4 linked regions of the Astyanax mexicanus genome follow. The protein of the gene in region 3 purifies or fractionates together with the protein of the main gene of each other region. This does not show direct contact. Links are inferred from orthologs where the notes say so. Each region holds a gene or a part of one and is shown on either strand. Other genes may lie near its edges. The genes, in order: protein diaphanous homolog 1, csnk2a2b, dcaf7 and tcp1.

Region 1 (8,025 bases), on a different chromosome or scaffold from region 3:
CAACTTTCCAGGAACCTTTACAAGCCGTGCTATAAAATGTTTTCTGTAAAGTGGTTCTGTTTTAATTAGAGTACCCTCAAAAAAGTAACATATGAGTTTCACTGAACACATATGTTTGTGTGTATTAATGTATTTTATTCATCCTGCATCCCTTGCAGGCCTGAAGAAGCAGGCAAAGATAAAGATGCACCACGTCTATTGTCTGCAAGCTCTCCGGGAGACAGCGGATGGGTATCACTATAAAGGGATAACAAACACCAGGTGTGTTTACGAATCTATGGTAACATTAGGAGGGTGAATATCAGTTTTCTTAAGATGAAAAGACTGGGAGATAGGATAACACGCTGAGCGCTGTCATCCAGCAAGGCTGAACTGCCTGGCTTGACTCACTTTTCCCAGACTATGACGTAACAGAGTTCCCTTTTCCAGTAGTAACCACAAACACAGTCTCAGGAAGCTTTACAGCTGGCTGAGACACACAGGTCCAGCCCACACTGGCTGAACTAGTCTGTGTGCCAAGTGACAGCCTTTGAGGCTACCAGTGGCAGATCTGATTTTAAAATGAGATCTGTTCAGGCAGGCATTAACACTCCCATGCCATCCATGACTTGCATTTAAACATGTTAAGCATTAAATAACCGAATCAAACTGACCACATTTAAGTCTGAGAAGAAATTTAATTATTTACATTAGGTACAATAATGTACGTACATTCGGTACAGACATTTTGTATAATCTGTTTGTTTTTAGCTTCTTGTAAAATCAAGTGTCTTAAAAAGACATTTTGCATTAAGAAGAGTTATTGCTGCTTTTGTTGGAGCATCTATTTCTAATGCCTAGCAAAGGCCTTCTACTAAATTCTGGAGCATTGCTAGAGCATGACAAGAGCATTAGTGAGGTCAGTGTGTTAGGAGGATGATCACCTCTTCACCTCTTATTCTCAACTCCCCAACTCTTCCCAAAAGCACCAACCTTCCAGAGAACACAGTTGCACCACTCCACAGCTCAATGCTGGGGGCTTTACTGCCCTCTGTGCCATGCCTGGCATTAGGCACAGTGCCAATAGGTTCATGTTTATTTATCTGCTCCAGAGAGTCCTGCACAAGCTATGTGCATGCACTTGGACATATTTCCCAGCAACTGATTTAAAATTATAGAGCTGGATTTCTGCATTAGTTATAGAAAGGGGTCCACAAACTTCCCAGACAGGGATTAATACTAGTCATAGATTTATACATAGTGTATTCAGTGCTCAAAACCACTAAAAACGTAGATTTGTATTCAACTTTTAGCAAATTTAGAACTGACAGTGGTTTGTGTGGTACAGTGGATAACACAACCACCTGCTGATGGTCTACCAAGTGGGAGGCTGGGGTTCAATAAGAGTCCTAACACTAAATTGGCCCAACTCTGTAATAGAAATAACCTTGTAAGCCACTCTGGAAAAGAGCATCAGACAAATGCCTTAAATGTAATCTAAATGTAAAAAGGGTGCACAACTTTTTTTTGACATATGGGGTTGGTTTCTTAGACAGGGATTAAGCCTAGTTGTAGACAAAATGTTTCCTTTAAATATATAGTATTTATTTGAAATGCTAAAATGCTATATAGTACAAGACTTGGCTAAAACTTAGTTTCCCCTGTCTGGGAAACTTGTCTCAACACATGTCCCATAAAGTGTTACAGTCCACATGGTCTGTTAGAGTAAAACCCAAACCCCCTCCACTGGCGTCCTATATTTTACACACACACATACACACACACACACACACACACACACACACACACACACACACTTTACACACTGCTGTTACTTCCTCATCATTAGCGAAGGCAGGGCACGTAGATTGTCTCTTAAACTCAGAAAAAGCACAGACTACTCTAGGCTTGATTCGCATGGCTCAGAAAAACGCCTGCCTGCTGCCTCCTCTTCTCTTTTGTTTTCTAGTAAACTACATTTGAATTAAATTAGACAGCTAGCTAACTAGCTAAGTTTGATGGGAACAGGAGTGTTTGGATGAGTGTAGCTGCTAGCTAGCTTTGCATAATCACTTCTTAGAGCCTTCTAGCACTTTAGCACTTCAGCACTTCATGACAGTACACTTGACAGTACATGGTGTGATTCAGTGAGTGCTTCTGTGATGTGACAGCAATGAGAGAAAACCTGCGGGACATGTAGCTCGTTTATAGTTAGTTATTCCGCCAGCTACAGCTTGAGTAACTTTAACCCAACTCAAAATACTCACAAATTTCTTCTTCTCATTTCCCTCGTCGTAGGTTTTCTTGGGTTTCTTCTCTTTGGTGCTTTTTGAAGAAGCACCAGAGGACGCTGAGTTCCCAGAGTTTGGAGGATCCATGGTGAATCTAATCCAAACTGATTGAAAACAATGAAGGCAGTATCCAGTTCTCCGGCGCTGTGGAGCTTTTTTTACACGCTTTTCTTGACGGTGAACTGTAGCTAACTAACAAAGCTGAGTTAGCTACTGTAACTCAGAAATTATCCTCTGCTTCCTCCAGACTGCTACAAAAAGTACGTTAGTTCGCTAAATAAATCCCCGCGGCCTGAAAGAAAGAGGCTGAGAACCCAGAGAGCCCTCAGTCACACAGGCAGTCCCCACATAAAGGAGGGAAAAGGGAGGGAGATTTGAATAGGAGCCCCCTCTTAAAAGCACCTAAATCTCTTCCTATCAGTGACTTACTACAAGTTTACTTCCACTAAAGTCCGTTTAAAGTGGAAATAACGCAAAAAACACGCACTTTAACCGTCTTATTAACGTGTTAACTCAAGTTTGGCTAACGTAACGTTGACTACTCGTGTGTACTTAGCTAACAACTACCGCCCTCAACCTTCTGCTAACCTTCAACAAACCCTCAAAAAACTTCACCACCCCCTCACAGAAACATCCAGCGCCGCGTGGTTTCCCTCGACGAACATCCCGACAAGCACATTTCCCAACTTTATTCCCATACTAGCTAAATTCTCCCAGCTCTTTCGCTCGTGTTTACTAAAGAACAACAGAAGCTCTCGCGCGGCTCCTCGTCGCTTCCTGCCTCGCTCTCAGGCACGCAGGTTAGCAGCGCGAGGGCGGGGTTACGCACGAGGGCCTCACCTGAGATAGCACTGCGCGTGCACTGTGCTTTTCACTTTTCTAAAAACAAAATAATACTACAAAATAAAAAAAAGAATATTTCAATGAATGCTCCATAAATAATTCAAAATAACACAGTTATTTACAGGCAGTCTGTAGCCTACATATATATTGCTCTTTAAACTGCCCACTATCTGAACTAAAGACTGTGAAGTGCCTAAAGTTTTGTTTCTAAATAAAATTATGAAGGGTTGATACATTTTTCACTTTTTTTTATTAAAATATGTTCACAACAGTTATTGTAGGCAAAAAAAATATATTGTGATTTTCTTTTCTGTTACCCAACAGCTCCACCATGTGTGAAGATTAGGAGCAGCATGTTCAATCTCAGCTATAAAGGCCGGGCTTTCATCACGCAAAAAAAGCCAACAAGTGTTAGACTGTAACACAAAGCATGGATTCTCAGATACCCAGATTACTTAAGTTTAAGGAGTACTACTGACAACATTTTGCCCAAATTCCAAATACAAATATTGTCATTTAGCGCATTTATGTGCAGAACATGATAAATGTCTAAAATAACAAAAAAAAAGATGCAGAGCTTCCAGACCTCAAATAAAGCAAAGAAAATAGTTCATATTCATAAAGTTGAAAGAGTTCAGAAATCAACATTTGGTGGAATAACCTTGGTTATTAATCACATTTTTTCATGCATATTGGCATGTTCTTCTCCACCAGTCTTACACACTGCTTTTGGATAACTTTATGCCATTCCTGGTGCAAAAAAAAGCAGTTCAGCGTTGTTTGATGGTTATGATGGTTTTCAATTAGGTAAAATCAAAGGAACTCATCATTTTTAGATTTCAAACTGTTCACTAGACATTTATTGCATTTATTTTCTTTAATCAATTCGGCTCTTTGGAATTTTATTCGTAAACCATATTTGTTTCTGCTCATTTTATCTTTTGTCTCTTTTTTTTGTCATCAATTTTATACTTATGTATACTCATTTATATTAATACAACTTAACTTGTAGATCCTCTTAAATCTTAAAATCAGCAGCAAAGCAAAAAAAAACTTATGATAGAAATTAGAAGAAACTGTGAAATCCATCTTGTTGAATACCCCAAACCATCGTACAGAACAATAAATCTCTACCCTATTACTTACATCTCCTGGATCTCTAAACACACAGTCCATTCCCCTTATAAAGGACTTGGTATTTACCTTATGAGCCTGAACAGATGTGCTAAAACAGAGGATGCTTAAAATGTGAAGCTTCCCAGAACTGGCATTTAAGAAAGTGGTTTACAGCCATTATATTATATTTGATTTGTTTTTAGTTTTTTTGTTTGTTTGTTTTTTACATTTTTGTTGATATTTACTTTTCCTGTAACTTATAAATGATGCATTATAACTCATGATGTGTTTATTATAGTAGTGTTGGAGACAATTATAGTTAATAATTTACACACTTTAAAAAAACAGAGGTATGAAAGGAGTATTTTTTTTTTTACTCAAAGGTACACTGTTCATAATTGTACCCTCAAATGTACAATATTGGTCTTTACAGGGTCAGATTTGTTCCCTCTGAAGTACAAAGTAATTTCTAACAGCAATAAGTACAAATTTGTACCATTTAACCAGTCAAAGGGTACATTCAGTATTCTGTACCACTGTACTAATAAACAATATATATTTTATTTGCACACTTTTTTATTTGAGAGCCAGACACTTTTGCATCATGAAGACACATATTTAGTTGATGATAATGTTTATAATCTTTATAATCTTTACTGGCATAAAAACATGGGTACAAAAAAGGACTTTCACTGGAAGGTACTTTTTTGTACCTCAATATAAGGTACAGCCCTGGCAACAAGCTTTGTACTCTTTTAAGTACAAATCTGTACTTACTTTTCTAAGTGTGCATACACTTACAAAAATAGGCTGCAAAATTCAACATATAACTCTGTTTCAAGCAGATATGTAAATGATTATAGGTCTGGCCTGATTAGACACTGGGTCTTGCCATAGGATAGCATTTTTTTCCCTCACTGCCCTATAAAATGCTCTCAGAGGCTACTTGGACTGCTACAGACTGGAAGCATGTCATCTTTTACAATGAATCTAGGTTCTGTTTGGGACACTAAAAGCTCAGTAATATGTGCAGGACAACTACATGTACATCTGTATAGCCTCTAATTGCAGGACATCCATCTGCCTTCTTTTATTTTATAGCATGATAATGCTTGCCCATACACAGCAAGGGGTTTCTAGCATTTCCCTTATCAACAGATTTATAGTTAATTCTTTTTTCATTTTTATCAAGAGTTTACAGGATCTACAGACCCAGCTGCAACAATCTGGGCAAATGTGCCACAGGAAGCTCAAGATGGTACTAGAAACTTCTTTTAATTGTACTGTTTCCCCACGCAATCCACTTTTGTTTTAATATTGCATGTATCATTATCATATTAACGTATATAAAGTTTCATACTACAGAAACTCATTAGTTTGTATTCTGATGCAGTAGATCCTGGATCTTTTTAAAAAGTATTCCTGGGAGCTTGAGAAGCTATCAGATGGTTGCGACTGCTCTACCTAGTTCTCAACATCCATACATGACACATCCATAAGCTTAAACCAAGTTGCCGTTACAAACTAAACATATAACCAGAATAATTTTCAGAAGCATAACTCAAATCATGTTCCTTTTGACTTCATTTCAAACTCTAAAGAACAGCAGGTGAAATCCTGCTGACGTCTGCCTTATGTTCACTTCATTTGGTCCAGGCTAGAATTAACATTCAACAGAAACCTAAGCCTGACAGAAAGAGATATCTCTGGCAAACCAGTCGTTTTTTTTACAGCTGAGAAACAGCCACTGTCACTCTGCTCATGCAAATTCAACACCATATTGTCCATAGCACTCTCTCCTTGTGAAAAAAAATGTGCTGACTCAACCCAGTTTTATTTTGGTTTCTTTCCAGTTGATGCGATTAAGTATTATCATTTCTTCTGCACTCATTTCCATTTCCATTTACACGCTTCCCTTCACCCCCCTCAATCCACCCACATCTGCGCACATGCGCAACAGTGTGGGCATGTTCTGTGATGCATTGGTGTGCCTCTGTGCACTCTTTTCTCTGCAGGCAGTAATGATACCGTAGCTGCATCACCAGGATTGAGCCTTCACGTTGGCTGATCTTTGGCAGGCGATTTAAAAATAGACCTATTACACACATGCACACACTTGTGTGGATACAAACACATACATGCATGTTTCGAATTCCTGTCTCTGAGGGGGGTTTTCATGTTTTATTTTGTCTCTTTTTTTCTTTTTGATCAAGACTTTGGGTGTTTCCATAAGAATACATAAAGGAGCTTCCCATCTGCCCTATTTACAGGGGTTGGACAATAAAACTGAAACACCTGTCACTTTAGTGTGGGAGGTTTCATGGTTAAATTGGAGAAGCCTGGTGGCCAATCTTCATTAATTGCACATTGCACCAGTAAGAGCAGAGTGTTAAGGTTCAATTAGCAGGATAAGAGCACAGTTTTGCTCAAAATATTGCAATGCACACAACATTATGGGTGACCAAGATAGCAAGTCTTTGTGATGTATCAAGTGCCACGGTATCCAGGGTTAATGTCAGCATACCACCAAGAAGAAGGACAAACCACATCCAACAGGATTAACTGTGAATGCAAAAGGATGCTGTCTGAAATTTCATTTCAGCTTCAGTTTCATTGTCCAACCCCTGTAGATAGTGTACCTCCTGGTGAGAGCTCATTGACTGCTATAGACATGGCTCTATGACATACTCAAAGACATTTTGCTCAGACTTTAAGCCTAACCTTAGGATTTAAAGGAAACCCTTTGCACTTAGGTACATTTTTCAATTTTGAAAAACTGCATATAAAAGTGGAGCCATGCCCCAAAGTTTGGACAAGCAGCCTTCTGACCTGAAGGTTGCTGGTTTGATTCCATAAACTGACAGAACATGACTATGAAGTGACCCTGAGCAAGGCAAACTAACCCCCCCATAGCACCACAACTAGGGATGCACCACGTCCTCTGGGTACAATGTGTGTGTATGTGTGGTCACCAGTGTGTTTGTGTGTGTGTGTATGTGCATCAATGTTGTTAAAGGTGGAAGTCGAATGCGTATGTGTGCCACACAAAAGGTGATTGAGTGATTCTTCTTCGTGCTTTTATATTCATTATTAAAAACGTGTGTTTTCCTTTTATAGGGACCCGTCGATTCTCACCATTATTTATCCTGGGGCTATTCGGTCCTCACAATGAGGCACACACACCCACACCCACAAATCCATACTCTATAGGCCACAGTAATGCTCTTAAGGAGAGCTGATCATTGATGCACTGCACGCTGCTGCTGATATAAGGCCAGTCAAAGGGCAGTCCGACATTTTTAATGAGGCCCATTATGAAGCCTATAGCCATTAAGCATGCTCCATTGCTCCCTTCCCCCCTGAAAGTTTAGTAGAAAATGCTAGTGAAATAAACGACTGTAAAATGAGCCTGGGCCTTACGTTCTCACGAATTCCAAAACTCGATCCCCTTCAGTCCCATTTCTTTATCAGTCAGTCGTTTTCTATGGCGTGTCACACCTGCTTTTCAGCGCATGTGATGCTAAGCTGGAGGCGGATTAGAGCGGATAGTGTGATCTTTATCAGGGCACGGCGCCTTGTGTTGTGTGGGAGCCAGGAACGCAGAGATAGACCGGGCTAATCTCCCTCCCAGCATATGCACATCCTCATCAGAGCCACGCACATCACTGCAAAAAGACACTGTAATTAAAAAAGAAGAAGAGCAAGACTGCTAACTGAATGAGCGCTCCAAGCAATTTGGGCGTAAAACAGTGATAAGCCCGCTCATGATCTGTGCTGGCAGAAGGAAGATTGGAAT
Region 2 (7,856 bases), on a different chromosome or scaffold from region 3:
AAAGCACTGTATGTATATACATTTGTGCTGGTTAGAGGTTCTGGGCTTTGATAACAGATGGAGGACACTGTGCTGTTTAGATTAGAAGGTTCTGGGGTTTAATAAATGGATGGTGCTGTGCTGGTTAGATTAGTAGGTTCTGGGGTTTGATAACAGATGGATGGTGCTGTGCTGGTTAGATTAGTAGGTTCTGGGGTTTGATAACAGGTGGATGGTGCTATGCTGGTTAGATTAGAAGGTTCTGGGGTTTGATAAATGGATGGTGCTGTGCTGGTTAGATTAGTAGGTTCTGGGGTTTGATAACAGATGGATGGTGTTGTGCTGGTTAGATTAGTAGGTTCTGGGGTTTGATAACAGATGGATGGTGCTGTTCTGGTTAGATTAGTAGGTTGCAAATGTTACATTTGTTACCAAACAAATGTTTTACCAGTTTTACCAGTCTCTCTGCAAATTATAAATATGTGTATCCACTTTGGCAGATATATAGCCTACATGTTTAATATTGGATATTGGTATTGGACCAGAATTCCCAGAATCAGTGCAACCCTACTCTAATATAAACATTTGAGAACAAATCAGCTGACAGGCGTTCACAGTTCTTTCTCCCGTCACTGTGGCCTACTATTATAAACATCACTTCCAAAAATTCATTTAGCCTAAAAATCTCTGCCCCATATGAAAAACAGCTTAACTGTTGGGTATTCAATAATGTTTTTAGCAAAAGAAAATTTCACAGAAAATTCTCAATTCCCTTGACATATCTATTAGAATTAGTATCATGACATTCTGGATCATTGACTTCTGTTACAAATCTGATCAAATTCTTATTTTTAATATCCAAGTTAGGGGTGTGCCATATCATATCGTATGCAATAATAAAATTACATTTTCATTTTGATGCAGTAGATCATTCCTGAAATTTTTTTTTTTTTAATTCAGTGTTTTATCATAACGCCAAGAGTATCGTTTTCGCGAAATTACCATATTTTATGGCCATATCGCCCCCCCATTAAACAGATAATTAAACAGACAGACAATTTTTTAGACATATGAGATGGGCACCTAGACAGGTTGCAAAACAGATAAATGGATAAGTAGGCAGATATACTGACAGATATACAGACAGATAGACAAACAGTCAGATGGACAGGCAGACAGACATACAAACAGATAGAGCAAAACATAGATAACCTGTTAGACAAATAGAAAGCTATAGAGTGTTAAACACATAAACTGACTCTTAGACAGACCAGCATGACCAACACACACACACAAACACACACACTGTTTAACCAATTAAAGATGAATTATCTACCCATTTGTTCCTTAATCAGTCTATCTGTAAGTCAGTCTATCTTTTTTACCATCTACCTGTCTTGGTTTATCTGTCTACTGGTCCTCAAGTCAGTCAGAGCAATGACAGACTGTCAGCAAAAACAGGTGGCAAAAAGAGAAATACAGAGATAGATTGATATGTTGGTAGATATACTGACTGATGGACATATGGACAAACAGTCATAGATGGACAGGTAGACAGACAGACCTACGAACAGATAGAGTAAAACTTAGATAATATGATGGACAAATAGACAGCTATACAGACTGCAAGACACATAGACTTATAGACAGGCAGATAGATAGATGGAAAAACAGATAGATAGATAGACATACAGAGAGATAGATATACTGGCAGATAGATAGACAGACCTACAGATAGGCAGATAGAAATATAAATAAACAGATGGATAGACCTATGTATAGACAGACAGACAGACAGAAATATTAATAAATAGATGGATAGACCTATATATAGACAGGCCTATAATTAGACAGGCCTACAGATAGACATACATAGATAGCTAGACAGACAGACAGACAGACAGATCTACACGTAGACAGATCAATAGAGATTGATAGATAAATCTACACATAGATAGATTGATAGATAGACTGACAAAAAGATATAGATAGAGATAGATAGATAGATAGATAGATAGATAGATAGATATAGATTTAAAAACAGCAGAGAAATATACCTACTGACAGACAGACAGATTTAAAAACACAGACATAAATATACAGACTATCTACATATACTGTCTATCTAAATATAAGTAGATAGACAGACAGATACAAAAACAGATAGACAGATACATATACTTATAGATAGATAGATAATTCCCTTTAATTGGCTAAACAGTGTTGTCGTGCAGCAGCAGGTTTTGGGGGTGGAACACAGAGGCATGAATAAGTAAAATACTACAGATTTTACGCGGGAATGTGTTTTTAGGGTTAAGGCTGGTCTCTCACCTCCAGCTGGGCACGTGAGCCTCATAATCCCAGTACTCCCGGCTCTTCAGCGTGTTCACATCGGCGTACACTCGGGCTTTACTGCCGGCCACCGGGCCGGGCATGGCGGGGCTCCGGGAGAGGAGCTAACGGTACAGCGGACAGGGCTAAAGCCGCGGAGCCGAGCGAGAGAGGCGGGCAGGAGTTGGTACAGATGGAGAAACGGGGCTTCTTAACGACGAATCAGCAAAAGTTAATAATTATAATAAAAAAAAACAACTCAATTTAAATAAAACAAACCACCAGCGTGTGTAAACCCAAACCCAGGAGGCAGGCGGGGGGGTTTACTGGTCAGAATATTTCAGGATTATACCCCCCCCCACCCCCAGCCAGCTTCAAATCCCAGATCCGAACTGCGGAGGTCCAGCGAGAAATCCCCCAGCAGCACCGAAATCAGAGTAACTGTGCCGGAGTGGTGAAGTTGGCGTGCAGCAGCAGCAGCGTTAAGCCCTTCGCTTCGGTCCAGCCGGCTGGAGAGAGATAGATAGATAGAGAGAGAGTGAGAGAGAGAGAGAAATAGAAAGAGAAATAGAAAGAAAGAGAGAGAGAGAGAGAGAGGGAGAGGAGGAGTGCAGACCGTTGCTGCTAGCTGGCCTGCTTTCTATCTCCACCACAGTACGGGGGGCTGGGGGTCGTGCAAACCCGTTGCAGTCCCATGCAGGAGCTCCAGCGCTCGGTAGTAGGGCTTTATTTGTGGAGAAAGTCTCCCTGCGCGACTCCTGCTCCGCTCCGCAGGGACACAGATCGCAGTACGGTAACCTGGAAGAAGACTAGCGTCTGTGTACTAGGAAATAGTCTCTAACGCCCCTACTGCGCATGTCTGCAAACTGCTGCCACCCATCTTAGTATTTCTAGGGCGCGTTCCATTCTGTAGCGTGCGCCCTACTCACTACAACTCACTACTACACTTCTCACTAACTTTTTGAATCCATCTTCAGCTCTGGAAAAAATGAGACCACTTAAAATAATGAGTTTCTTTGATTTAACCAAATTGAAAACCTCTGGAATATAATGATAAGATGAAGACAGATGATCACAAGACATTAAACTAAGCTAAACTGCTTGATTTTTTTGCACCAGTAGTGGCATATAGTTATCCAAAAGCAGTGTGTAAGACTGATGGAGGAGAACATGCCAAGATGCATGAAAGCTGTGATTAAAAAACAGGGTTATTTCACCAAATATTGATTTCTGAACTTTTAAAACCTTATGAATATGAAACTGTTTTCTTCGCATTATTTGAGCTCTGAAAGCAATTTTTAATTTTCTGCAAATAAATGCTCTAAATGACAATAAAACTTGAAAAAATTAATTAGTTGATTATTTTAGGAAAGTGTCGATATAATGAGGACTACGAAATAAGCTGTATTGTGGTTTTGCTCTCAATGATTTAAAGTGTTTTAATAACTCTTGTGCAGTGTATTTTTAAATCATTAAATACAATAATTCAATCAATCAATTAATGTATCCTTCCATCCATTCATAAGGGAACAGTGTTTGTTCATTTGAAAGAATAGTATGTATTTTAGTGCTGTGCAGTATGCATTTTTTAATTATTAAATCCATCCATCCATAAATTCTTAATGTTAAGTTTGGAGAAGTTACCTTTGTTAAATCAAGGGAAGGATTTAGGTTTTTTTGCTTTGTCCATAACATACTACACCAAATTCTACTGTTACATTTTATTTTACTTACCATCTAAGGCATGGTGTTTTCTGCTACTTACACAATCCCTTAAACTTTTTATGTTATTTTTAAAAATCTAAATCTCTCAAGACAAGCCTCCAAAAAATAAGGGTAAGGATTTGGTCTAACATTCTACCTGAAGGTGGAGTAATCTTTTCAGCAACCAAATTAGCCATTATGCCAGTAATAGATAAAATGTTATAAATGTTATAAATAATGTTATAACATGTTTAGATTTAAATACCTTTTTTGTTTTCATTTACTTATTTAAGACGTGTTTTTCGTTTCTTACCTCAGAAAACATTATGCAGCCAGACCTCATTTTAAGCAGTGTTTTTTTTTTCTCTGAAATAAAATAAAATTCATGTTATACAGGCTTAATAATATGGATTATTAATTGATTACTTTGTCATTAACATCTGTTATTCGTTGTTATTTATTTGTTTTTGTAGTAAAGATAGTTGTTTATTAGTTTAAAATGAATGACTCTTAACAACAGTAGAGGTGGCTAACCCAGGTCCTGAAATTAAAAACCCATCCCAGGGTTTGAGATGCAGCAGAGCCGCCCAGGTTGTTGGTACAAAACCTTGGGATGGAGTTTTACTTTCTGGACCTGGGTTAGCCACCTCTAACAGTTTATAATGCTCATTCAGCCTTTAAGCTCCGCTGTCCTCCTTGGCGACAGCCATGTTTACCATAGCAACCATGAAGGACCCGGAGAAAGGCAGCTTTACTGAAGTAGATATGAAACTAACGCGTGAACAGCTGGAAGACTTGAGGTAAAACATAGAAAACGTTTATTAATAATGTAACTTAGCATGTTCAGAGAACAGTGGTTAATAGGAAATACGCTCCTGTTTAAAATAAACCTGTATTATTTTAGTGTGCAGTTAGCTCGCTAGCTAACTTGGCTAATTTAACCACATAGCATTACAGTGCTGCTACACTAAGCTAACTAGCTAACACTGTGTGAATACAATTTAATAATTATTTTTTAAATAAAAAAATAATATTACACATATAAATGAATCAATCAACCTTTATTTTGACTTAATTTTGATTTAAAATTAAAATAAGTTTTAAAATAACAGTAAATAAAAGATAAAAAAAAATGCCTCTTAAACAATCTTGTACGTCGGAGGATCTAGTGATGCTTTTAGTAGGAAAATGCACACAGAATATAACGTATAGGGTTCTACACATATTTATTTACCACAGAGTGTAATAAAGACAAGTTTTTGAAAAGCCCATTCAGAAATTTAGCTTAGAACGGAACCCCAAATATGGGCATACGAGAACTACAGAATGATGCAGGACTGCAGTGGTCTATTGGGGGAGTTCTAGTGAGTAAGAGAGTTATTTGGCTTAGATATAATTGGGGTTTCATTATTATTCGTTTTTTTACATCTCTTATATATCTTTCTAATTATTTAAAACCTGTATTTGCAGCACAAAAAAACATAATGGCCAAAACAAAGTGGGTGTCAGATATGGTAATAAAATTATAGAAACAACTTTTAACTCCAATGGTTTGATCCTGACTTTCTTAAGCCTGGAAGTTAGCAGATTAAAGATCTGCTAGAGCAGAAGATGGTCCACCATGTTCTGTTGTTTATGTATCTTCACTTTCAGCTAATAACCTGCAATTGATGTGAATTTCTATCATGCAGGCGTTTCAATGCAGCCTTACAGGCTGAGAATGAGATGTTTGAGCACCAAGCCCTGGTTTCTCAGGCTGTGCCAGAACATTTGGGTTCTGTTGCATCAATGGCACATGGGGTGAGTGAATATGTTTCATGTCTTCCATCACTTGACTGTTGGCAATGATATTTGGCATAGGGTTGATAATTTAAACACTATTTCCAAGCTTTCAAAAAGTTCTTTACAGTATCATGATCTTTACCATATATTATTTACCAGCATCCCGGGCGCAGGAGGCAATCTAAAGTTCTGAGGCCATCTCAGAAGGAATCATCACAGCTGCTGGGGCTGGAGCAGAAGGTTTTCATTGCTCAGAGGGAGATGGAGGAGCTGAGGAATGACCTGGAGAAGCTAAGACAAAGTTCAGACAAGGTTATATTACTTTTTAATTAAACTGACTAAAGATTTCTTCACATTTTTTCTCCTAAGAGAGACAGATGTATAACAAAGTAGAACTACTTTACTATTGTACTTAGGTATTTTACTGAACTATACATTTTTTCTCCTACTTCCACTTTTATTTCACTACGTATTTTCCATGAGTTTAGTACTTTTTATTTAGATAATTGTTTTACGTGTTGCATCAGTACTTGTAACCAGAGGTGTTGCCAATCTTTTTAGGGGCTTGGGAACCTGCAAATGACAATCTACGTTCTTTCAGCTGAGCAAGCACACAACATTAAACAGCGTTCTTTATTTATATGTTCTGTCCCACTCCTGAAACATCCTGTGTGTGTCTCTGTGCTTGTGTGTGTGTGTGTGTATGGGCTTACGTGTGCTTGTGGCCAACCAGTCAGCCAGTCAGTCATGAATATTGGGTTAGTTTTTTACCAAAATAAAGGTCCATATTCAGGTTCTTGTGAAAGAATAAGGTAAAAAATGTAAAAATAAATGGTAAATAAAGTTCAAATAAATAATTTTCTGGTTCAGTGTGAGCAGATGCCCGGTAAAATCCATACTGAGTTTTGAGTAGGTTTCCACTTTTAGCTATTTAAATTAGACAAGATAACGAAGCTTCAGGAAGTATTTTGATAGAATTTTTTTTAATTGTTATTAGTATAAGAAGTTTGCAACAATCAAACCTACAGTAGATTAAGTAAAAGCATGCACCTGTATTGCTGCATCTGCAAAGAGCCACTAAACCCTAAACTATATATTTTTTTATTAATATCTGAATGTGTTCCTTTAAAGTAACAAAACATACCAATCCTGCTTAAAATGTTTGCAAACATTTCCTAACCATTAATAAAATGCTTTTATTGTGGTACTTTCCACCTCTACAGCACCCTCACAGGTTCAACTGTTTTCAACTATAGTTGAGGATGTTGTGTCCGTGTACTTTTGTATGTAAACACAATACAAGGTGCAAATCAGTTAATCAACTGATGTCCAACCATCTGGGTCTCACCGCTATAAAAGGCACACTGCTGCTGCTGCAGCTCAGCCAATCAGCTCTTCGTCCTGCCCTGCCTCTAAACCCATACATCACCCAGTGCCCCTCCCATTTTTTAGCCTTTTTAAATCTGAGCTGAGGGTGGAGTCAGCAAAAATCAGGGGGTTTAGTGCCCCTTTAAAGGAAAGCAAAGGGTTGAGTCAAGACCGAAAACAGATCTATTTAGAAATTTAATTTAGAAAGCTGAAATACTCTGTGTTTGTTTTGGTGCAGAATTTTTTCTTTTAAAAGGCGGCCCGTTAGAGACCCCTCTGGTGAGATTCTGTAAATGCACTGCGCATATGGAGGAGAACTTTGAATGCTGGCTAATTCAAATAAATTGCTGTGAACTAGTCCTTTTTTTCTTTCATTTTATTCATTTATTAAATACTGTCAAAATGTAGGGAACTTATACATACAACAAACCTAATATATATAATATATATATAATTTATATATCATATATATAATTGTATATATATATATATATATATATATATATATATATATATATAAATCATACGATTAAATCTGTTGCTCTCTGCTTCACAGGAGACTCCCGCAAAGAGGCTGTGTCAGAAAAACACGGCTCGTCACACACAGAAGCGTAAGCTAAAACTAAAAATGAGGCAGAAAGAGGAGGTGGAAAAAACTTTTCACAAGGTGGATCTCCAGAAGCTGAAGATCG
Region 3 (7,727 bases):
CAAAGCTTATACAATTATTTACTCAGAATAGAGATGAATGGAACTGCACAATCGATCCACAGCTCAAAAAAACGTTTCTCGCTTGTCAAAATTGCACAGTTATCAAAATAATCAGTTTCATCTGCCCTGAAAAAAAAACCCTGAGGGCTCCACTGCTAAGTATAAAAGGATATGCACTAGATATAGCAGTGGAATTTATACCTGAATTATCAAACAGGGATATTTAAATGTTTAAAAGGGATTACTTTTACTTTTACTGTCTAATAAACGGTGGAACATACTCTACACAGAGAGGGAAAAGCATTTGCTGTTATACTAAAAAAAGGTTAAGAAACCCCTGAACTACAGCATAAAGATTCAGGTGCTGTGATGGAAATGAAGCACATTGGTCTAGTTTACACAAGAGAAATCCAATCCTCAATGCAATCAACCTCGCACAGCTTTCACCTCCAACACTGTTTCTTACACATCTCATCTGGTTATCTAGGCCACTGTAGTCTGCTATAGTTCACCTGCCCTATACTGTGTAATGTTCTGCAGCGCCATGTTAACTTGGACTAGAGCAGAAGATCTGAATCAAGAGCAGGAGAAGACTGAACTGTACATTGCAGGTGGATTTATTAATCAGCAAAGAAGAATATCAGTACTATTAATATGATGCAATATTCCATATAACATGCAATATTTTCTGTATTTTTGTACACATACATATACTACCAACCCAAAGCTTTTAGAACCCCCCCCCCCCCACACACACATATTTTTACCCTTTATTTTGCCATTTAAAGTTCTTTGGGTACTTGATAAATTAACTAAAAGGGGAAAAAATAATTTTAGTAAAAATGTTACTACACTCACTACTGCAGCATTTACACACAGAACATTCAGTCCATCACCATAAAATTAAATTGCCTAATTAAGCCGTTAATATCAGTAGCATGAAAATTCATGAAATGACAATGACAGCAATTAGGTGTGTGCTACATTATAACACATTGTAGCACATGCACTAATATTGCAAAAATCCTCTGAAAATATTGAATCTGAAATATTGTAATTTAATTTAGGGCCATATGGTTCATTAGGGTACCACTTTTTTGCTGTTTATATCAAAAATAAAATGTATATTATTCTCAAATTATATCTGTTGACTTTCATTTATTTTACTTCAGTGTATTATTAGTTTCAAGACTAGGTGTGTGCCATATTGTATCATATGCAGTAATATCGGCAACATTTATGAGTATCGTGAATTAAATTATACCCTGAAATATCATGCTATATTACCCACCCCTAATTATCACCACTTTTTTTGCTGTTTTTAGCAAAAAAAAAATACTATTCTCATTTCCTATTATATATCTATAGGAGGCAGATTATATCTGTCCAGTATCATTTATTTTACTTTAATCCTGGATATATGGAGTGCATTATTTGTATCCTGAATTCTGGATCATTGGCTTCTGCTACAAATCTGATAAAATTCTTGTATTTTTTAATATCTCAGTTAGGGGTGTGCCACATCTTATTGTTTGGTAATATTTATTCTGTTGCATTATTCTGTCCTTGATTTTTTTGTCAATGTTTTCTCATATCATCAAGAATATCGTTATCACTGACATACCCTGAAATATTGTGATATTATTGCAAGGCCATTTGTCTTTGTAATCCTTGTTATCAACCATTGATATCTGAATATTCTTTAAAAACAAAAATTGAAAATGTCTGGAATATATAATAAGAGAAGGATGGATAATCACAAGCCATCAAACCAAGCTGAACTGCTTTTTTTTGCACAAGGAGTGGCATAAATTTATCCAAAAGCAGTGTGTAAGACTGGTGGAGAAGAACATGCCAAGATGCATGAAAACTGTGATTAAAAACCAGGATTATTCCACAAAAAATTTATTTCTAAACTCTTAAAGCTTTATAAATATGAAGTTGTTTTCTTTGCATTGTTTGAGGTCTAAAAGCTCTGCCACTTTTTTGTTTTTTCAGCCATTTATCATTTTCTGAAAATAATGCTCCAAATGACAACATTTCTATTTGTAATTTGGGAGAAATGTTGTCCGTAGTTTATAGAATAAAACAACAAGGTTAATTTTAAACATAAACCTATAAATAGCAAAATCAGAAAAACTGATTCAGAAACTGAGGAGGTCTCTAAGATTTTTTTCCAGAACTGTATGCAATGTGTAATTTCATTAAAACGCTAGTATTTATCAAGTGTAACGTAAATGTTAGATGCCCAAAATATTTTTTTAATGAAAAATGTGTTATTGTGACAGGCCTATTCAGTACTAACCTATAAGACACCTGCCATTATTTACAGAGATGTATGTTTGTTAATATAGAAACCCTGAAGGGAATCCACTGGTAAATTAAAAAGCTCTACAGTAGTTTTATATTCATTAACGTTCATTAGAGACCTAGAGGTGTCGGAGTACTTAAACACACAGTACAAGAGCTCCTCCATAAGGGGGTATGGAGGCCATTGGTAGCTAAACTAACCTAAATAAACATTAATAAAAACCTCAAATAACAAAACTCGTAATATACAGTGTAAAAAGCTTCTGTTTACCTTGTTGTTGTATTCCTCCACGAAGCTGCCGAGCGCGAGCCGAAAGCGCTTGTCGGGTCTGACGCTCCAGTTCATCGCGTACACGGTCCATGGCGCCTCGTATTTATAGATCTCTTTCCTCTTGCCGTGCAGAGACATGGCTGATTATTCCGCTCCACGCGAACCTCGACCGAGTAAAGCGGACTAACCTAACGACCAAATAAACCCAGAACACGCGCGACACGACGGGTTTACCACCAAAACACGACCAAACGCCCCGTTAATTCAGACAAAGGGAATGTCATAACACTCCCGCGGCTCTCCTGCAGCAGCCGAGCTAAACAACGCAGCTCCGCTCCGCCAGACCCGCTCCCTCCGCGTCTCTCTATATCTCGAACACAGCGCTAAATATCCCGCATAACAAAAACAGCGGATTACCGTTTATATCAGTAAATAACCGCCAACTCTCACCGGGCCTTTCCGCGGAGCACACAGCTGAAAAACGACAGCTCGAGGTTTTGATCGAAAATGTCTTTACCCGACTTCAAAATAAAAGTCCTTCTGCAGAGAGGCTAATAATCACAATAAGTTACTCTGTGTGGCGACTAAACATTTAAACATAACTGATCCTATTTTAAAACAGTTAGTTTAACAGTTCTAATTACATAGCTAATATAAACGGTTTTTGAAATATTTTAGATTTTTTAATTATTTACTTTTTTATTACTTTTTTCATTCTTAGTTTTTTATTATTATATACACACATGTGGAAAAAAATAAGAGACCGCCTCAGTTTCTGAATCAGTTTCTCTGGTTTTGATATGTATAGGTATATGTTTGGGTAAAATGAACAGTGTTGTTTTATTCTATGAGCTATGGACAACATTTCTTCCAAATGTCAAATATTGTCATTTAGAGCATTTATTTGCAGAAAATGAGAAATGGCGGACACAAAAAGATACAGAGCTTTTAGAGCTCAAATAATGCAAAGAAAACAAGTTTATGTTCATAAAGTCTTCAATATTTGGAGGAATAACCCTGGCATGTTTTCCTCCACCAGTCTCACACATACACACATATAATATAAATATGAATAAAGCTTAGAACTATTCTTTTCTGATTTGCATTGGTTTGAGAAGTTTTTATATGGATTGAGCAGTTTTTCTTGCATCAACAGTTTATTTTGTAGTCATCAGTCAGCACATAATGTTAAGGCATAGTGAGTGGAGTTTTTTTGTGTTTAGTTATTACATATAGTTAGAATTAGATATAGTTATTTATTCCTTCACTGAAATATAGTATGTTTATTGACACTCTTTGTCTGCATCTCAACAAATGATGACGTCCTGCCTATAATATTTCACTTAAAAGGCAATGTCCTGATTCGGTCTTTATATACAAATCAAAAGGAAAAAAATACCTTAGTATGGACAGCTAAAGTATGGACAGTTTACTGCTATATGTGAGGGTTTAGCTGTGTTGTCATTAGCAGTTGGTATCATTCATACTAGAGACCACAACTAGACATTTTAAATGTAATAAAAAAAAATGGAAAGAGAACTTTAAAGAATTAAAAAACCAAAGCGCTGTGAGAAACATAGTCAACTAAGCTAACTTAATGCCATTTTGTTAAAGGGAGCATTTAAAAAAATGGGACACTTCAATATTTACTGCACATATAAAACACACATAACAGTGCATAATACTGTATATACAGACATTAGGACAAAGTGGATACGAGAAACGGGCGCTAAACTTTTTAGAACAGAGGTGGGGAAAAAAAACAACTAAAGGCTTTAGGCCTAGCCCTAGTGAGCTTATTGGAGCACAACCCACGCCATATTCTTGAAGCCTCATTGCACGGATTTGTGGAAATGGGAGAAGGGTATAGCTGCAGCCTGGAGCACCTCCAAAGGGGAGGAACATACCTCCAAACAGGCGGAGCCTACCTCCAAGTAGGATGGTGCTTGATGTTAAGCGGTATGGTGTTTTTCACGACGTTTTGTGCTTGTAAATAACCCCAAAGAATAATTAATGAATCAATTTTGTTTATTAAATGTTTATTTCTTTTTAAATGCATTTTCTAAGAGTTGTTGCATGTTGTGCACATTGCAACCACATTTTATTTATTTAAAACGTTTAAACTTTTGCCATGCTGTGAATTTTTCAAATTATAAAATAGTAAAGATCTAAATAATAAAGGCAGTTGTTTATTCATAGCCAATACAATTATAAATACATACACACTACACGTATTTTATTATATTGACATTTAAGAAATATGAATAATCATTAATTGTTGACTAATATATTTATTGACATCCATGAGCTTTTTAATCACGGAAGACTTTTTTTTGTGGCATTCAGCAGAGAAATGGAGCTGTGTTGAGTGAGGTCTCCCTGCCTTACGATGTAGACTTTTATATAATATAATATAATATAATATAATATAATATAATATAATGTGATAGTACATTCTATATAACATTAAATTTGATGTAACAGAATAATAGTAATAATAATAATCGCGGAAGGCTTTTATTATGACATTCGCCGGAGCCGTGGTGAGATACTGTTGGTGGACTTCCCACTTGGAGGTAAGCCCCTCCCCTTTGGAGTTGGGGACTTCCCATTTGGAGCTAAGACCCTCCCCTTTGGAGGTGCTCCAGTCTGCAGCAATACATACTTGGGAAATGGGCTTGGGACGCGGCCCTCGCTTGCAGAAGACAGTACGACAGGCAGACGGCGAGCTGTGAGATACTGTCGACACAAGCAAGAAACGCCTGGCTTATAACGTCGTAATACAAGAAGAACTAGAAGGTAAATTGGTTACCTTTGAAACACTTTTGTTGCTTGTTTGTTTGGGGGTGTAGTTACATTTTAGAAGGTCAAAAAAGACGCCAAGCCATAATTTATCTCGTATTAAACCTACTGTCAGATACTGTAGTCTAAAAAAACGCTGAACTGGTAGCCTGTTAGCATAGAGTTAGCTCGCTAGTAGGAGCAGCCGGCTAACTTAGCTAAGATAGGATTTTACAGAGTTTAATATAAAGTCTTATATCTACATATAACATGTTGTTACTTGCTCTAAATATGATCTGATTTAACCTCTTAAATTCTTCTATTTTCCCCCGTTCCACCTTAAAAAGTGCAGCACCTCCAATCTGTCCGCTTTAACATTTAAGGTGGAACGGGAGAAATTCCAGCTACTTAGCTAACGTTAGTTGGCTAGCTAGGTTAACTATAGATAGCTTGCAATGAGCTGGTTTTACTTCTTTTAGCTACAGATAAATAACACCAGTCACAATTTTAAACGTTAATTAATTAAATATTTGTTAACGAGCCTGTGTGTTAGCTAGTTAACTAATATAAGTGACACGTTAGTGAAGCACCTGTCCTATTCCCTTATCTTAGCCACCAGAAAGCTAACGTAGTTACCTAGCCAGTAAGGTTATCTTGCTAGCAAGCTAATTAGCTTAGGTTAGCATAATTGCTAACTCATTCTCGACGTAAATATTGTTAGTATTTAACTAGTTAGATAATGTTTATGTTATTAAATCGCTATTATGTAACTTTATTTGTATAGGCAGTAATTTGTTGTTTTACTGTTTAAATATAGACGCCATCGCCACTATAAACTAGGTAGTGTAACCTAGGTAAGCTCGGCTAGGCTAAGCTAAATAAGCTGTTAGGCTCTAATCTGTCCAGCTGGTTAAAAGCAGTAGCTAGATTTCTGTGGAGATTTGATTTGTCAGCATGTTGGACTCTTAGATTAGGATTTGTCCCGATTGTAGTTGGACAGTTGCTTGATTACTAAAAGCGTGTGTTTGACCTTAGTTTAATGAAGGGGAACTGATCAGTTTGATATTTAGGGTGTAACGATCCACACCACTTTAGCTTCGATACGATTTATTCGTTGTGGTTATGTCTATTTTCAGTAGTTTTGTATTGTCTAAATTTATCCGGACACGTGATCATTCATTATTTCTCCCAACTTCAAATATTGTTTTTAAAGTAGAGTTTGTCCCGATTTAGTTGGAATTGAAGTCTCTGCTGTTTAGGAAAGAAAGGCTTTCTACTAGATCTTTGAGCATTGCTGTAAGGATCTCATTCTCGTTGCATTCAGCAACAAGAGCATTAATAAGATCATGATGCTGGATGATCAACACCACATTTTATTCTCATCTTGTCGTCCCTATCTCATCCCAAAAGTATACGATGTGCAATCATTAAATATAACACAGTTTCACTGTTTCTCAGCCTAATACTAGAAGCATTTGTACCACTATATCCCTTGCCTGTCATTAGGCATTCTGTTTATTGCATGTTTATTTGCATCAGTTGTATCTATTGGAAATACCTGTCTACAGCAATGAGACAAGCTTTATGTGTGCATTTGCTAAATTGTTTTAGCAGTAGGTACAGCTTTAAGTAGATGTATGCATTTATTAATAGGGTTGCACACAAAAATTGAAGTATTAAGGGGCAGTTGTTGTCTGCAAATTAAGCCCTTAATTTTTTCTTTTAATTGAAAATGTCTATTTAAAAAAAAGACAAATTTTAAAAACCTCTCATTTTTGTAGAGTAGTGTTTTGAGACCCTGTAAAGTGCGGCTTTTGTCTTAGATTGTTTCAGCCTTTTTTAAATACTGTGATACATGAAATGTTTATATAAAGGCTTTATTTTATTGTCAAGATGGGTTATAGCCTAGCCCTTAGGTATTTACCGTTGCTTTCTTGAGTGGGGGGCAGGGGTCCTTCCTCTGGTTTACTAATAACAGAACGTGAGTGTGGGGGGTGATGAGGGTACACTGTTGTAGTGTATAAATGACTGGTAGAGACGTTTGGTGTTTAAACATTTGCTCCTGGCCTCTACCCAGCTGTTCCCTATGTCACAGTTTCCCATTTGGGCACTTACATATGTATGCACCTTAATGGGTCACTAAAGCTCTGTAATGTATGTAGGCCTGTCACAATTACACTATTGATTACATTATCGATTTATTCTGAAATAATTAGACAGGACCTCAATAATATTTGATAATTGTGATATTGTCTATTTGAATTAACATTTTATTGCGTTAAAAGTAGTATAATTGCTTAGTTATGCTATTTGATCATCATTATATCAGTAGCAATTAATGATCTTAAATCACAGTAATATTGTT
Region 4 (6,996 bases), on a different chromosome or scaffold from region 3:
TCTAGTGTTACAGCAGCAAATATATAACCAGGCACACATAAGCAGAAAGACATTACTAAATCATTAATAAAAATATATAAAATATCTATGTATATAAAAAGTGTAAGTGCTTACTGTATGTGTATGAGGTTTACTGTGATGTTATTAAATACAATATGTTAAAATTACTCAAAATCCATTTACCGTAAGCATCCAAATGGATTTCAAGGTGTAATGCTTTTAAAACCCTTAAAGAACCACATATTAAATAAACACTGTACTCATTACTTTCACGTGCCTTTCTCACAGCTTCTTATATGTACTGCTTTAAATAACACTGAGATCTGACCTGTATTTTAGGAGGTGGCTCCAAACTCTTCTCTCTGACATTGTCTTCCACGAGGTCCGAGTCACACACAGCCTAGAAGAAAACAGGGGAAGAAAAAAACAGGTTTCCTAATGAACTGTATATCTATAATCATTTGAAGATAGTAGAGAGGCAGAGGTTAAATAGATTATATAGGATTAACTGCAAACTCTTACCTGTGCAACTGGACCTGGGACATCAGGCTTAGTAGAGTCCAGCCTGTGGGCGGGGGCTGCCTCCCTTACCGGCACCAGGACTCTCCCACCATGCCGCCTGGGCGAGGAAAGCTGCAATGGAGTGGAAGATAGAGACTTTAAAGACTCATATTAATAGATATTTAACAGATTTAAAGTGGGATATGGTTTTGGAAGCAGCTGTATGACTGTGATGCTTTTCTGCATCTTAATTCATTGTTTATTGTGCTTTTCTCACCTTCTCGATGAGGGCCCTCAGCTTCCCCTCGAGGAACTCGTGCTGAACCCTCCTGAGCTCCTTCCAGGGGTCTGGACCCTCACCCTGCCACTGCAGACAGGCGTCCCTCAGCTCCTCAGTGCCCTTCAGGAACATGGAAAGAAACACAACTCAGGATTATATACACTGCAATATAAACTAAACATGCTGCTTTTTTTTACGCAGATCAATAAAAACAGTTTGATAGAGACTCACGCAAAAAGGCAGGAGAATGGGGGGGTCGCAGGCGCAGTGAGACTCCACCTACAACAGAAAATAAATTCCAACCATTTTAAAAAACATAAATCAACATATGTTTACATATGTATGCATTTACAGTTTGTGAAACACGTGACTGTGATGCTCCTCTGCATCTTAATTAATTGTTCATTGTGCTTTTCTCACCGTCTCAATGAGGGCCCTCAACTTCCCCTCGAGGAACTCGTGCTGAACCCTCCTGAGCTCCATCCAGGGGTCTGGACCCTCACCCTGCCACTGCAAACAGGAGTCCCTCAGCTCCTCAGTGCCCTTCAGGAAAATGGAAAGAAAAACAATTCAGGATTATATACACAATATATGCAATATAAACTAAACATGCTGCATTTTTAGGCAGATCAGCAATAACTCACGCAAAAAGGCAGGAGAATGAACTGGTCTCCTGACCCACCAGAAGCCCCCTGTAACAGAAATACAAGAAAAATGTATTACAATAATTTTTAAAAATGGGATTTACTGTTTACTGTTACTACTGACACTGACACTGAACACATATGCCACCCTTTATGGCACCCAAGCTAGGAACCCTTTCCAGACTAATACAGTTATTTAATAAAATACTAATGCTATGCTAACTAGGTTAGGCTAGTTATTCAACACCACTTCCTCAGACTCCGCCTGCAGAACTAACAGCTGCTGTAATTCATGCTGCTCCTAGTTTTATCTTGTCACTGTAAATTTGGTGTAAAATTAGATAATGGTTTACTTACCTCCAGGAGATGGTCTTCACTCCGCCAAAACTCCATGTCTGACCGCGGGGTGTCAGTATACCCACACCGGTTTCGACACCTGAAAAACAAAATATATGTGATTAATAACAGAAAATACAAGTAATATAACAATAATATAATAATTAAAACACAATACAGTTAATAAAACAGTAAATATTAAAGAATAAACGGGTCTGTTGTCCAAAAAATCGCTGGATATCCTCAGTGAAAAGCTGCTGCTGCTGCTGCTGCTGCCGCTATTCTTGAGCTCAGGAACTCTGTAAACATAACAATCATCCAATCGTCTCGCTGAACGAGGACGCGCGCCGCGTCACTTATGTAGCCATAGAAACGCGTATATTATGTTTTTATTTAATTTTTTCCTTATTTCTTATTTTTCAAATGCTTTGCGTGTCTGACTGAAAATATGTATACTTATACCACAGTCATTAGTACAGTTATCTCAATTATAGTGCAATTACATGTTGTGGTGAACCCTGGTAGCAAAGAACATTAAATACATTAAATAAACTTTATTTAAAAAAAACTTGTATAAAAATAACAATAACAACAACAACGACAACAACAATAATAATAATAATAATAATAATAATAATAATAATAATAATAATAATAATCATTATTATTATTATTATTATTATTATTATTATTATTATTCAAAATATTTAAATAATTTAATCTATGTGCAGGAATAAAATAACTTTTTTAAATGGGGTGGAATTTCCCATTTTTAAATGCTTTGTATGTCTGACTGTTAAAATATTTATTTTTATAACACAGTCATTAGTACAGTTATCTTAATTATAGTGCAGTTATATGTTGTGGTGAACCCTGATAGCAAAGAATATTAAATTAATGATTATTAATGATTAATGATTTTTACATGCAATACAACTATAATAATAATAATAATAATAATAATAATAATAATAATAATAATAATAATAATAATGATGATTATTATTATTATATAGTAATAATAATAATAAAATAATACTTATAATAATAATAATAATAATTTTATTATTAATTTAAAATACATTTTCTTTGTGCCCATTCGCACAAAGAAAATTAAAATATTTAGATAGTAATTAGCATGGATTTTTTTCAAGACCACCAAATGTATAGTAAATTTGCATTTTAATGTAGTAAACATAAAAAAGTAGAACATTTAATTTAATAAAATGTTTTTTTTTTTCATTTTAGTTTTATTTATTTTGGTTTATTTTAGCTTAGTTTTCTGTAGTATATTTTAGTTTAGTTTTGTCTTGTTTATTTTGGTTTATTTTATTTTAGTTTATCTTACTGTAGTTTATTTTATTTTATTTTATTTTCCTATAGTTTATTTTATTTTATTTTAGTTTAGTGTACTTTAGTTTAGTTTAGTATAGTTTATTTATTTATTTGGTTTATTTTATTTTATTTTACTGTAGTTTATTTTGGTTTACTGTACTTTATTTTAGTTTATTTAAAATAATTGTACTGTAGTTTATTTTATTTTAGTTTATTTTGGTTTATTATTGTTCATTGTTTTGTTTATTTTAATTTAGTGTAGTTTAGCTTAGTTTATATTATTGTAGTTTATTTTTTTTTTAGTTTAGTAAATTGTAGTTTATTTTATTCCGTTTAACTTATTTTATTTTAGTTTAATTTATTTTCGTTTATTTTATTTTAGTTTAGTTTGGTTTAGTTTATTTTACTGTAGTTTAAAGTATTGTACTGTAATTGATTTTATTTAATTTTATTTTGGTTTTAATTTATTTTACTGTAATTTATTTTATGTTGTTTTAGTTTCGTTTATTTTGGTTTATTATTGGTAGTTCTGTTGTTTTTGTTTATTTTCGTTTAGTTTAGTTAATTGTAGTTATTTCATTCTATTTTATTTTAGTTTAGTTTAATTTATTTTGGTTTATTTTATTTCATTTCATTTATTTATTTATTTATGTATTTCTTTTTTTTCTTTATTTGTTTGTTTATTTAGTTTAGTTAATTATAGTTTATTTCATTTTCATTTAACTTATATTATTTTATTTGAATTTATTTTGGTTTATTTTACTGTGGTTTAATTAAATTTTTGTATTTTGGTTTGTTTAATTTTATTGTATTTTCAGCCGATGGGCTCTGGAAGGTTCCAGGCCGGGCGGCAGTTCTTTACCCAGAGTGCACCGCGGCTCCTTCTCCTCCTTCTCTCCGCTCCGTCATGTCTGTGCTGGACGGTCCGCTCAATGTTCTCGGTCAGAGGACCACCGGGGAGTCCGTGCGGACTCAGAATGGTGAGTTTAACCGCGGACCGGCTCCGAGACCCGCGCTCGGTTCTCTATGGATCAGCAGAGAGAGAAAACGTGCCGAGTTACAGCGGTTCACCGGCCCATGCTAATGCTAACGGCTAACGGCTCCCTCAGCCTCCACGTGCGGATTAAAACTGCTCAGACTCGCCTGTAGTTTAGTGTGTTACCGGTTAAAGATAGTAACCTGGCTAATTAGCGGATTTAAGGGTCTTTATGCGCGAGTCTCTGTATTAATATCAGTATTAACTGTTTCTTTATCAGCAGCCCGTTATGTTTGCTGTCAGTGTTGCCGGTTCCGCCCGTTAGCTAGCCGGCTAACCTAGCCTAGCCACTGTTATTAGCCTGTTGTTCAGCATCATGGAACATTACCCTATTATTTAGTGAATAATAAACTGTTAAAAGTTAAATGTTACACCGGTCAGTCAGTAGCGGCCCTGCTTGACAGAACTGGTCAGTGTTCAGTTTGTTAATGTTTATTTTAGATTCTGAATTTCTGGCTTTGTAATCCTGCTCCAGCAGAAAGCTACAGTATGCAAATCAGCCTGTGGGTCTGCAGCCACAGTGTGAAAGTGAGGAACTGATATCTGATCAATATCAGACATTTTAGATCAGTGTGATCATTGTTGGACTAAGTTCCTACTATATATAAATAACAGCTACTTCAGTTAAAGTAAATGTCTGAAAAGTCTTCTCTTAAGAACTTTGTGTAAAAATATCTACAATACTATTTAGCTCAAAATGTACTTGGGTGTTGAAAGTAAATGTCACAATTCAATGCAGCTCTGTTTTTTTGTAACTTCACTCTTGTTAATAACTCCTATTTTAAGTGTCCCTCATGGTAAATCAGCATTTTAAGTAAGGCTGGCCAACATAAATGTAATAAAAAGAATTTAACGATTTCTAGTTCTTATGTAACTGCAGTTTTTTATTTGTAAATAGGTGACACTGTTTTAAGTGATGCACAAACAGTTTTTTCCTTTTCCCAAAAATTAACCAAAAGGTAACATTGTTCAGTCAGGTTAGGATACACAAAGAATACGCAATGATTGTGTGCAATTTCATTGTACATTTTTCATTTTTTGCTGCTTAGTACTAAGAGAAAAAATATCGCACTGTTCTCATTTTACATGACAGTATTTACCAGATGGTCAATTATATCTTGTCTAATACAATTAATTTTGCTCTAATCATTGATGCAGTTATACTGTTGTTTCCATTATATGTTGCATCATTGCCTTTTTTTTTTATTTAGTCTGTTTACATTGTAATGTAATTTGTTCCAATACTGTGCAGCCCTAGTAACCAGCTGCAGTTAATCAATCACTGTCCACGTTTGAATAAATGTGGCTGTATTTTATAGAAAGTGTGTAATATGGGTATGAATTATAAAGTGGAATAATTGCCTAGTTTACAAACAGTGAACCTCTCCTGATGGCTAGATAATTGAACATGTTTTGATGACTTCATTTTTCTGTGTTTAACAGTCATGGCTGCGGCCTCCATCGCAAACATCGTCAAGAGCTCCCTCGGTCCCGTAGGGCTTGACAAGATGTTGGTCGACGACATTGGTGTAAGTGCAGCAACTTCAGATTATTAAGGCATTTAATAAAGTGTTGCTTTTGTTTTGAAGGCTTTCTGGGAATGCTTTTATCAATAGTGTGTGCTTCTGTTTACCGCAGGATGTAACCATTACCAATGACGGAGCCACCATCCTGAAGCTGCTGGAAGTGGAGCACCCTGCAGCAAAGGTCCTCTGTGAGCTCGCAGAACTGCAGGACAAAGAAGTTGGAGATGGAACCACATCTGTGGTAAGTTGCTAACTGTTATCTTTTCTTAGTTACAGTTATAGTTAAGAGTGTAAATGACCACTTTTTTTTTTTTTTTTTTTTTTAAAGAAATGTATTAATTTACTAGGTTAATTCATGCATCTTAAAGCCACAATATCTTATAGCCTCTCAATGATGCAAAGAATTGTTGTCAGTAGGCTTAAGCCTGCATCAGCCCACCTGTCTGCATTTAGAGTTAGTTATACAGCTCTCTTGTAGCCAATGCACAGTGCAAATGTAATTGCTTCAGGTTTGTAGACTTAACTCATAAACTTGTGTTGCTTAGGTTGTCTGATTACTGAAGTGCTTAATCATCGAATCTGAACTGTTCCATAAAAACCATCACCCGAGTTGAGTTTTCCCTGTATGTGGTTCACCATTTCTGTGTTCTCACAGCAGGAATAGTGGCCCAAATCTGAGTTTTTTTGCCAAGTTTTTAATATTTGTCTGAATAGTTATTGGGCAATACTTCACGCAAAGTTTCGGTTTAATCCTCTCAAGCCTTACTGTAACTATCAAGGAGTTCCAATTGCTGACAACTAGGGATACACAGACGTGGGAATTGTGGGCCAATATTAAACATTTATTTAGTTTTAGCCATGTTCATAACTTGGAGAGACTTGGAGAAACATCAGTAAGTATTGGTTTTGAAATGTTTGCCATGTCAGCCAATGCCTATGATTCTTAAAAAAAAAACTAAAAGCAACAATTGGCAGATACCGAAACGATTCCAATATCATTGTGTATTCTTACTGACAACTTCCATAGAGTGCAGTTATTTCTCCAAAGTCACTTTCTTTGCCTTGTCTGATATTTTTTTTAGGCCTATAATTTTTAATAATTTATTATTATTTGTTCAGCAATTTCTTCTGAAATGTCTTTAAACTCAGAGCGGTTGTAATATGTGCCTCGTAATCCATTGTTTTGACATTAAAAATAAAATTAATTCTGATCTGGCTATTTTTGCGCATTGTATATTTATTGGATTTTAATTCCACATATCAAGTGGCCGGAGTAAAAATGAAGAGCACCTTATTCAGTTTATTTTAGCTGTTCACACTGCCACACAATTAATACAC

The links.
Region 1: the proteins of dcaf7 (region 3) and protein diaphanous homolog 1 purify together in Homo sapiens (affinity purification with mass spectrometry; 5 studies listed by BioGRID and IntAct, counting the BioPlex papers as one, with this or other methods). This does not show direct contact. The link is inferred for Astyanax mexicanus from reciprocal best matches to the Homo sapiens genes DCAF7 and DIAPH1.
Region 2: the proteins of dcaf7 (region 3) and csnk2a2b purify together in Homo sapiens (affinity purification with mass spectrometry; 8 studies listed by BioGRID and IntAct, counting the BioPlex papers as one, with this or other methods). This does not show direct contact. The link is inferred for Astyanax mexicanus from reciprocal best matches to the Homo sapiens genes DCAF7 and CSNK2A2.
Region 4: the proteins of dcaf7 (region 3) and tcp1 purify together in Homo sapiens (affinity purification with mass spectrometry; 3 studies listed by BioGRID and IntAct, counting the BioPlex papers as one, with this or other methods). This does not show direct contact. The link is inferred for Astyanax mexicanus from reciprocal best matches to the Homo sapiens genes DCAF7 and TCP1.

The regions. Positions count from the first base shown.
Region 1 is NC_064409.1:66,225,026-66,233,050, reverse strand, and holds the start of protein diaphanous homolog 1, read right to left. Parts: upstream 3,061-8,025; 5' UTR 2,358-3,060; coding exon 2,247-2,357; intron 1-2,246. UniProt on the Homo sapiens protein: Actin nucleation and elongation factor required for the assembly of F-actin structures, such as actin cables and stress fibers. Binds to the barbed end of the actin filament and slows down actin polymerization and depolymerization.
Region 2 is NC_064417.1:7,238,404-7,246,259, reverse strand, and holds the start of csnk2a2b (casein kinase II subunit alpha'), read right to left. Parts: upstream 3,145-7,856; 5' UTR 2,415-3,144; coding exon 2,311-2,414; intron 1-2,310. Other genes in the region: ccdc113 (coiled-coil domain-containing protein 113), read left to right, coding at 4,723-4,814, 5,706-5,814, 5,956-6,108, 7,721-7,856.
Region 3 is NC_064426.1:21,247,356-21,255,082, forward strand, and holds the start of dcaf7 (DDB1- and CUL4-associated factor 7), read right to left. Parts: upstream 3,099-7,727; 5' UTR 2,720-3,098; coding exon 2,582-2,719; intron 1-2,581. UniProt on the Homo sapiens protein: Involved in craniofacial development. Acts upstream of the EDN1 pathway and is required for formation of the upper jaw equivalent, the palatoquadrate. The activity required for EDN1 pathway function differs between the first and second arches.
Region 4 is NC_064420.1:22,435,590-22,442,585, reverse strand, and holds the start of tcp1 (T-complex protein 1 subunit alpha), read left to right. Parts: upstream 1-3,930; 5' UTR 3,931-4,003; coding exon 4,004-4,076; intron 4,077-5,575; coding exon 5,576-5,661; intron 5,662-5,770; coding exon 5,771-5,899; intron 5,900-6,996. Other genes in the region: uncharacterized protein LOC111194026, read right to left, coding at 329-400, 523-633, 779-901, 1,013-1,060, 1,202-1,324, 1,426-1,473, 1,783-1,818. UniProt on the Homo sapiens protein: Component of the chaperonin-containing T-complex (TRiC), a molecular chaperone complex that assists the folding of actin, tubulin and other proteins upon ATP hydrolysis.